Ovis aries: one gene and its partner. The protein of the gene in region 2 purifies or fractionates together with the protein of the main gene of each other region. This does not show direct contact. Links are inferred from orthologs where the notes say so. Each region holds a gene or a part of one and is shown on either strand. Other genes may lie near its edges.

Region 1 (4,258 bases), on a different chromosome or scaffold from region 2:
GTCAGGACAGTTTACATTCTCTCCACACTTCCTGGGCTGCTCCTGAGAGAGTCAGACTCACACACCCCAATCCCTTGGCTCTCCCTAGGGACTCATCAAGAACAAGCCATTAGGGAGAGCAGCCAGTGCCAGAGTCTCTTTGACAAGGCCCACCTATCCAAAGCTCAAGCAGAGCTGGGGGTGAGGGTGAACTCCCTGAAGAGCCCCTTATATCAACTGCAGAAACCTACCTCTTGTTACCAGCAGAAGGATTTATTTCAGCTTTTAGCCTACAAAGTGACTTACATATTTCCCCATCTCCTCCTTTCCAAGGATGCTGTTAAGTTGCAAGGGGACAGGGTCTGCTTCTATGATCTTGGAGCTACATGCCCCTCCCCCTCATATTTGCTAGAGTTCTTCCAGTACACAGCACTCCTTCCACCCTCCCACCTGACTTGGAGTTGGGCAGAAAGGCTTATAAGGCTGTTATCTCTCAACAGACAGCTGTGCAGGGCCAGAGGCAGCAGCTTATCAGGGAGCCTGCAGTGATTCACAGCCCAAGTCCCAGCTTCTCTGCTGAATAGTAATTTCCAGCAGTGGATTTGTGCTCAGTCTCTCCTCCCCCTCTCCCAAGGGTGTGCTGTCCTTTCTCAGAGAGAGCGAGCGAGCAGTGAAGGGTAGATTCTATCCATGGGGCTGGGGGGCTCTGGGCCAGCCGTCTGGTAGGGCTGTTTATTGGCAGGAGGCTGCAGGCTTAGGGAGCCCAGTTGGATCTGCCACCCTTGGCAGTGACCCCCAGGATAGTTCATTGATGCTTCCCTTCCTCCCCCTTCCAGAAAAGCAGTATGCTGCTCCCTTTCCCTTAGTGGTAGCACATAAGGTGACCAAGGTCCCCTTCTGTCCACAAGCCCTGAAGCTACTGGAGCTAGCCAGGGAGGGCTGAGAAAGAGGGAGGAACCAGGCACTGGGTAAGGTGCTCCCAGCACCATTTCAAAGCTGTCCAGTTTCTGTGCCTGACCCATAAGACTCCAAAAGCTAAGGATTCCAGGCTGGAGGGGACTGAGACACAAGGGGGCAGACCAGAGCAGTCTCTACACAGGCTAGTGGTTAGGAAAAAACCCAGGGACAGAGCCTTTTTTGTGTTTGTTTTATTGGAAGCAAGACTCCAGCTGTGGGGCTCAGGGGAGGCGGCATGGAGAGTTCTGTCCTGGGTCTCTCCCTCTGGGCCAGCATGGGGAAAGTGGGATGTTAAAAGAGCCTATGGAGACGCCCCTGCCACCATGATCTCAGGATGCTCCTTAAAAGCAGGGAAAGGAAAACTAGAAACTGTCCTGGGGTGAGGAGCAGAATAGCCCCTTACCCCTTGCCACTCAAAATCCCCCGCCCTCAAGCAGTGGTTTCCAACCCTTTGCCCTCTGCTGACAATGGTGGGGTGGTTTCAAGAGCTCTCCTCAGCTTCCACCTTCGTAGCCCACTTCAAGAATCCTACATGAACCTTTAACCCTTGGGGTTAAAGGCTCAAGAATCCCATTGCCCACCATTCCCTCCCTGAAGAAGGTCCCCGTATGGTTCAGAAAAGCTGAAAGTGTCGTCAGGCAACACAGCTGGAGGAGCAACCCCACCACGAAGCTTCCCTGGGGTCCCCCCTTGTCGCCTTGGGGTCTATGCTTCCACGTTGTAGGTTCCAGAGTACCAAGGCGTGAAAGGCTAGAGATGCATCTCAAGGTCGAAGCTCGAGCGTAGGATTCAGCCCGTCCAGGTGGCCCAGAGGCCGGAGTTCTCAGGCGGTCTGGTCCTCTTCAGCAGCACCTGGCTCGGGTTGTGACCTCTTCGCGGAGCTCTCTCCAGCAGTAGGTTCCCCTAGACTCCTCTTGGACGTCGGAGCAGTTGGCTGGGACGAGGGGCCGGGATGGGGGTTCGGCGGCTGGTACCCGGGTTGGCGCGGATCCAGGGCATCCTTGGAAAGTAGGATGGCGAGGCTGGGCACGTTCTTAAGTACACTGAGACTGGCGGCTGGCTCGCCAGGCTTCTGCCCCGGTGTGGGCTCCGGAGGGAGGCTCTGCCACAGCTCGCGCACGCTCTGGTAGCGCAGCCGCGTGACCTGATGCAGACCCGCCAGGCGGCGCTTAAGGATCTCGGCACACGTGACGGTTTTGGTGGTGGCTCGACCGCAGCCGCTGAAGACGATGGCGCGCGTGGCTGGCTGCGCCATGCTGGCAGTGGCGAAGGCCAGCAGGTTCCGGATCTTGCTGCCCTCCTTGACCCGCATATGCACGGCGCCCGGCGCCAGGTCGGCGAAGGGGCCTGAGCCTGGGCCGCCCTCCTTTTCCCCGCTCCCCACCGGCGCCTCCTCGGAGCGCACCTTACGGAAGTTCTCCATGCGCCGTCGTTGCGGGGACGCGGGCTTCGCCATCGGGCCGCCTCAGCCCCGGGAATGCATGTCGGTGGGTCGCGTCCCGCAAGGGCCGGCAGGGTTAAGGGTGCGGGAGCGGCGTGGACGCTGGCTGGCCGATTGGGACGGTGCGATCCTAGCCTTCCACTTCTCTCCACTGGGCGCTGCTCTACTCGGCGATCTCGGCGCCCTGTGCTACGCGCCTTTAGCTGAGGCCCCGCCTCAGAGCCTGGGAGCCCCGCCCCTGCCGCCGGGCCCCGCCCCTTACCCAGCCCTGCCAGCTCGCGCCCAGCCTCACCAGCAATTCGCCCGCATCCACTCTGGTCCTCTGATATCCGGGTTTGGGAGGTGCGCGCATCGCGGGATGCCATGGCAGTGCCAGGAGTGACCTGCCAGCTGAAGTTTCCCTATAATCACCATCAGCCCTCCCTGAGCCTACCTTCATAAACCTGCAACCTAAATAAAAACTGCATTTGCTGGGCAAACTCAGCTTCAAGCCGGGTCCCCGAGCCCTTCCGCGGTTCAGCTGAAGGCCACCCACCCCTTGCCCGCTCCCAATGAGAGATTTCAAAGCGGCCTTCTGGGGACTGGGACCTCTTTCTCCCACTCCTAGAGGAACGACACCCCCACCCCCACCCCATCCCTTCGCTCCCGAGCCTCTCTTCTCGCCTGAAGGACAGCCTGCACGCTGTCAGCAGAGTGTAGTAGGCGCCGTCTCCGCTCCGCGTCTGCCCTCGACGACTATGTCTCGGCATGGTCCTCGCAGGACAACCGGAGAACTGAGGTCTCAGGCTTGCCGCGCCTGACCGGAGCTGAAGGCTCCCAGACACCCCTGCTCTGCGAACCGAGGCTCTGGGCCAGGCTGTGCCCTGGGATGAATGGGACGAGAACAATGAGACTCCCTTCTCAAGAGGAGTTAAGCTCCCTCCATCCATGCCTGAAAGTCGAGTATTAGAACTGCATGCCCTAGAGTAAGCCAGATATTGTCCTCTGCTCACGTGGATCCCCTTTCTTCTCAGGTGGAATTTGTTGTTAGTCAACCGGGCCCCCTGGGACCCAGTGGGGTCCTTTTCAGAAAAGAGGCTGGGTAAAAGCAGGTTTTGAGGGAGAAGGGAGGTAGCTGGGAAACGGAAATCTCAGGGACAGTTACCGGGTGCCCCTCCCCTGGAACTCCGCAAGACCGAGGGAGTGGCCCGGGATCTCTTTCCAGGAGAGATGGACAGTGAAGGGAGAGATGAGATTGGGCTTTAAAGGACTGCTGATGAGAGAGAGCGGGTTTGTGAAGAATACAGCTGTATTCTTCCTAGAACTGCCCCAGGGCCTCGTCCTTCATCCTTCCACCCCTCGCGGGACACACAGAACTGAAGGTGGGCCAGACCTGATCCGGGTAGGGGTGACTACGATGGGGCGTGGCGGGGTGGAGCCCTGATAGCTGCGGCGGACAGGAAGCCCTTGAAGTGCTGGGGTCATCCCAGTGCCTGGGAGAGCTGGTGCCGAGTCTTGAGACGGGGCTGCTGGGGTCCCCCTCCTCTCCTCCAGGCTGCTTTCGCCTTCTCAGTAACTCGTATCTCCTAGCGCTCGGCCCTGCTGTTTGGAACCCGGGACTGACTCCACTACGGCCCTTTGGGAGTGACTGGAGAGCAGGTGGACTTTTGAGCCCCAGTACATGAATGACCATCCTCTTCTGGGATCTCCTGCTCGCACGCTGGGGAGAGAGGCTCTGGAGGGCGCTTTCGGCTCGGAATCTGTGTTTCTGGCCTGTCGCAGCTCCCGCGGCCCCACCCCCTACCCCCCGAGGAACAGCCGTAGGAGTCGAAGGGCAGCAGTCTGGTGAAGACACAAGAATTTGCAGCACTTGGCGAGGCTCAGGGGTACTCAGGTTCTGTA
Region 2 (4,344 bases):
AGGTCCTGTAAGCAAATCCAGTACACATGGAAACTAAAATGCCAAGTGCAGCAAAGGCTGCAACAAACTCATGTTCATCTGTGCTGACAGAAATCTTCCAGCAACAGTGATCCACTCCCAGCTGTCAGCGGCAGAGTGTGTACAATTGGCTGACAGCAGAGAATGATGGTTAAGAGCATGGAACTCTGGAGCCAGACGACCTGGGCTCAAATCCCAGCTTCACCACTCATTAGCTGTACAGCTGTGGGTAAACTGCCCAACTTCTCTGTACTTCAGCTTCCTCATTTGTAAAATGGAAATAATAATAAACACTTACCCCATACTGTTGCTGTAAGGATTAAGTGAGTAAACATATGTAAAGTACTAAAACAGACATTAAGTATTCAAAAATATTTATTACTAGCTATTATTTTTATTACTTAGGGCAGATGTAAAGAAAGTATGGGATAACCTCAGCAAAAATTCTGCCCCAAATGAGGAGTAACTATGTCTGCCTTACAATCTGAGTGATGGTAGTGGAGAAAGCATGGGCCAGGGGAGTCGGCTTCCCAGAGCTAGGTAGGTCGCCAGCAACATGTGTGGCCCTAGGCAAGTCACTTGATCACTCCAAATCCCAGATCCGCAATGTAAAATGAAGAATTTGACTCTAATCCATGATTTCTGCTACTGAGTCTTCAAATCAAAGGCTCTTAAGAGGTCCCTGTGTTTTACTTATACCCATTAGGATGGCAATTATCAAAAAAAAAACAAAAAGCCAGCAAACACCAGGTGTGGTGAGGATGTGCAGAACCTGCTGATGGGCATGTAAAATGGTAGAGCCTCTACGGAAAACAGTATGATGGTTCCTCAAAAAATTAAACCAGGAACTATCTCATGATCCAGCAGTTCCACTCCGGGGCATGTACCCAAAAGAACTGAGAGCAAAGAGCTGCAGGGATGTTTGTACAACGTGTCCACAGCGGCATTACTCGAGACAGCCAAGAAGTGGAGACCACCCAAGAGTGGATCAACGTTGATGGATGGATGAATGGATGGATGATGAATGGATAAACACAACGTGGTATAAAATACAACGGAATATCATTCCGCCTTAAAAACAGGGAAATTCTGACACATGATACAACATGGATGAACCTTGAAGACATCATGCTAAGGGAAATAAGCCAGTCTCAAAAATACAAGTATCATATGATTCTACTTATGTGAGCCACCTAGAGGGGTCAAATTTATAAAGATAAAAAGTAGAATGGTAGCTGACAGAGACCAGGGTGAGACAGGAATGGGGACTTCAGTGTTTAATGGATGCAGGATTTCAGCTTGAGGAGACGAACAAGTCCTGGAGACGGATGGTAATGACAGTCACACAACAATGTGAATCTACTTAAGACCTAAGTAATAAGTACCACGGAAGTGCAGACTTAAAAATAAAATGGCAAATCTGACGTTAGGTCTCTTTTACCACAGATTTTTTTCAGGTTCTTGTACTGATTATTCTGCTATATTGCTCTCAAGAGGTATCAGAGGATGCTAATACGAACAGCTTTCTAAAGTTGGTCAAGGCCATCCTGCCATTGAAAGGCCCTCTGCAAAGAACAGATTGCTAAGTGAAGTCGCTCAGTCCTGTCCGACTCTGCAACCCCATGGACTGGGGTCTTTTGCGACTACCAGGATCCTCAGTCCATGGGATTTTCCAGGGAAGAATACTGGAGTGGGTTGCCATTTCCTCCTCCAGGGGATCTTCCCAACCCAGGGATCAAACCTGGGTCTCCCGCATTGTAGGCAGACACTTTTCCGTCTGAGCTACCGGGGAAGCCCACAGATTGCTAAACATGTACTGAAAAAGAGAGGAAGCGATTTCACGTGGAGCTGGGGGGACTGGGGCAGGCTGCTGGGGTGGAGGAGCTAGACAGCCAAGACAGACAAAGACTATTACGCAGCTCTAAGATCAGCTCCAAACTCAACTGTCCTCTCAAAGACTTTTTTTAATTTTTATTTTTAATTTTTTAATTTTAAAATCTTTAATTCTTACATGTGTTCCCAAACATGAACCCCCTTCCCACCTCCCTCCCCATAACATCTCTGTGGGTCATCCCCATGCACCAGCCCCAAGCATGCTGTATCCTACGCCTGACATAGACTGGCGATTCAATTCTTACATGATAGTATACATGTTAGAATGCCATTCTCCCAAATCATCCCACCCTCTCCCTCTCCCTCTGAGTCCAAAAGTCCATTATACACATCTGTGTCTTTATTCCTATCTTGCATACAGGGTCGTCATTGCCATCTTCCTAAATTCCATATATATGTGTTAGTATACTGTATTGGTGTTTTTCTTTCTGGCTTACTTCACTCTGTATAATCGGCTCCAGTTTCATCCATCTCATCAGAACTGATTCAAATGAATTCTTTTTAACGGCTGAGTAATACTCCATTGTGTATATGTACCACAGCTTTCTTATCCATTCATCTGCTGATGGACATCTAGGTTGTTTCCATGTCCTGGCTATTATAAACAGTGCTGCGATGAACACATGTGTCTCTTTCCATTCTGGTTTCCTCGGTGTGTATGCCCAGCAGTGGGATTGCTGGGTCATAAGGTACACTTCCCAGCAGAGACGGTTCTCAAACATCTATGGTGGCAAATGACTGCTAAATGAATCAGTGCTGAATCAGCCTGGAGCATGACCAATAAGACCCCGCGGGCTCTGGTTTCTACTTATTTCTCCAGAACTACTCTCACCCTAACGTTAGCCCTGCTCTCACTCTCTTCGTCTTTGTCACAGTGTGTTTATTTCGATCCTTCCCTATCTGGCTGCCTGCTGCCTTCCCCACTCTGGCAATTTCTTAGCCCTTAGAGCTCGGCTCAGACATCACTTGCGTGGCGAAGCACTCCTCTTCCCGTTATGAATATTCATAGCATTGCACAGTTTTCCCTTACAACAAAACTGAATGTTAGGCTAATTATCTGACTGTCAGTCTCCCCCCAAAACTTGAGGCTGCTTCAACTCCAGCATCTAGCAAAATGGTTCTCGCCCAGTAATTATTTTTAAAATACGTCATCTTAGATAGGGCTTTGGCCTACCACGAACTCTTTCAAAAGGGTGGGGAAGAGTCTAAACAGAAACAGAGGGGAGCGCACTGAGCGGCCGCTGGCTCTGGAAGCCTACCTGGAGGAGGCAGCGGCTCGTCATGGCCCGGTAGCAGGCTCTGTGGCTCTTGACTGTCGGCCTCTCTCCCAGGCAGTAGCCCCACCTCTTGACCATGTGAAACCGCTTCGCGTGCCAGATGTGAGTTTCCAGCCATTTGTTCTTCTTCTGTCTCCGGTTAAACTCCAGTATGCGGTTTATGTGACATCGTCGAGCTTTATGGCACTTATTTTTTGAGTGTTCTTTTTTCTGATGAACTGCTTTCTCTGCCTATAGTTTCAAGAAGACAGGCAGATCCCTGTTTGTGACCATCTCAAAACAAAGTTAAGTGTTAGGAATTCAAAGAGCTAGTTTTAGGTGAAGTGAAATACTTTAGGACTCCATTAGTTTGTGCAATTTTTTAATTTGGTGATTTTTTCCAACAAAAGTAGAGGAGGTCACAGAAAGAATGAAGATTTTAGGAAAAGGCAAACCTAGGAAGGAAGCTCAGTTCTATCACTCATGAACTGGGCAAACTCTGGGGCCTGGGAAGATTAGAATATTTACAAAATGTTCAACATAGTAAGTCAAACTGATGTGTGGCTAACAATATCAGACAGGAAGAAAGAATAAATCAGATGCTAGTTCTTCATTGTTCTCTTTCTAGTTTTTTTAACCTCTAAGATCATAATTAAACCCCAAACTAAGGACCAAAAATATAAAAGTGGGAAAAACCTACACAACTCACATCACTTAAGTACTGAAAGACAAATGCTAAACGCTTTCATGAGGAAACAGACTTCTCATGAAATCGAGAAACTACAAAATTCCTGTTTAGTTTTCACTCTTCCTCTTCCATAGCTAAGCTAAAGTGCTGTGGGAAAAACTCTTCTCCATTAGCGTGTGGGCCCCTTAAGAAGATTCTACCTTAATGGACTCTAACCCCACCACCAGCACCATGCCAGTACCTAGACGGCACTTGACAAAGAAATTCTGAATCAATTAATGAGGATATAAGGTGCTTGGGCAATCACAGAATGACCAAACCAAGAATTTTGGTAAAGCCAAAAACAACAGGACTTGAACAAAAATTAAATCCAAGTTCAAGTTTTCCATTTCAAAAAAGACAAAAGGCAATCTTTCAACCTTCCAGCTCTAGACTGGTCACATTCCAAAGTGCAGAGCTAAATTACTTATCTGGTAAGAAGGTCAAAAT

The links.
Region 1: the proteins of POP1 (region 2) and RPP25 purify together in Homo sapiens (affinity purification with mass spectrometry; 3 studies listed by BioGRID and IntAct, counting the BioPlex papers as one, with this or other methods). This does not show direct contact. The link is inferred for Ovis aries from reciprocal best matches to the Homo sapiens genes POP1 and RPP25.

Annotation. Positions count from the first base shown.
Region 1 is NC_056071.1:31,412,445-31,416,702, reverse strand, and holds RPP25 (ribonuclease P protein subunit p25), read right to left. Parts: upstream 2,550-4,258; 5' UTR 2,393-2,549; coding exon 1,760-2,392; 3' UTR 1,111-1,759; downstream 1-1,110. UniProt on the Homo sapiens protein: Component of ribonuclease P, a ribonucleoprotein complex that generates mature tRNA molecules by cleaving their 5'-ends. Also a component of the MRP ribonuclease complex, which cleaves pre-rRNA sequences.
Region 2 is NC_056062.1:79,008,857-79,013,200, forward strand, and holds part of POP1 (ribonucleases P/MRP protein subunit POP1), read right to left. Parts: intron 3,420-4,344; coding exon 3,171-3,419; intron 1-3,170. UniProt on the Homo sapiens protein: Component of ribonuclease P, a ribonucleoprotein complex that generates mature tRNA molecules by cleaving their 5'-ends. Also a component of the MRP ribonuclease complex, which cleaves pre-rRNA sequences.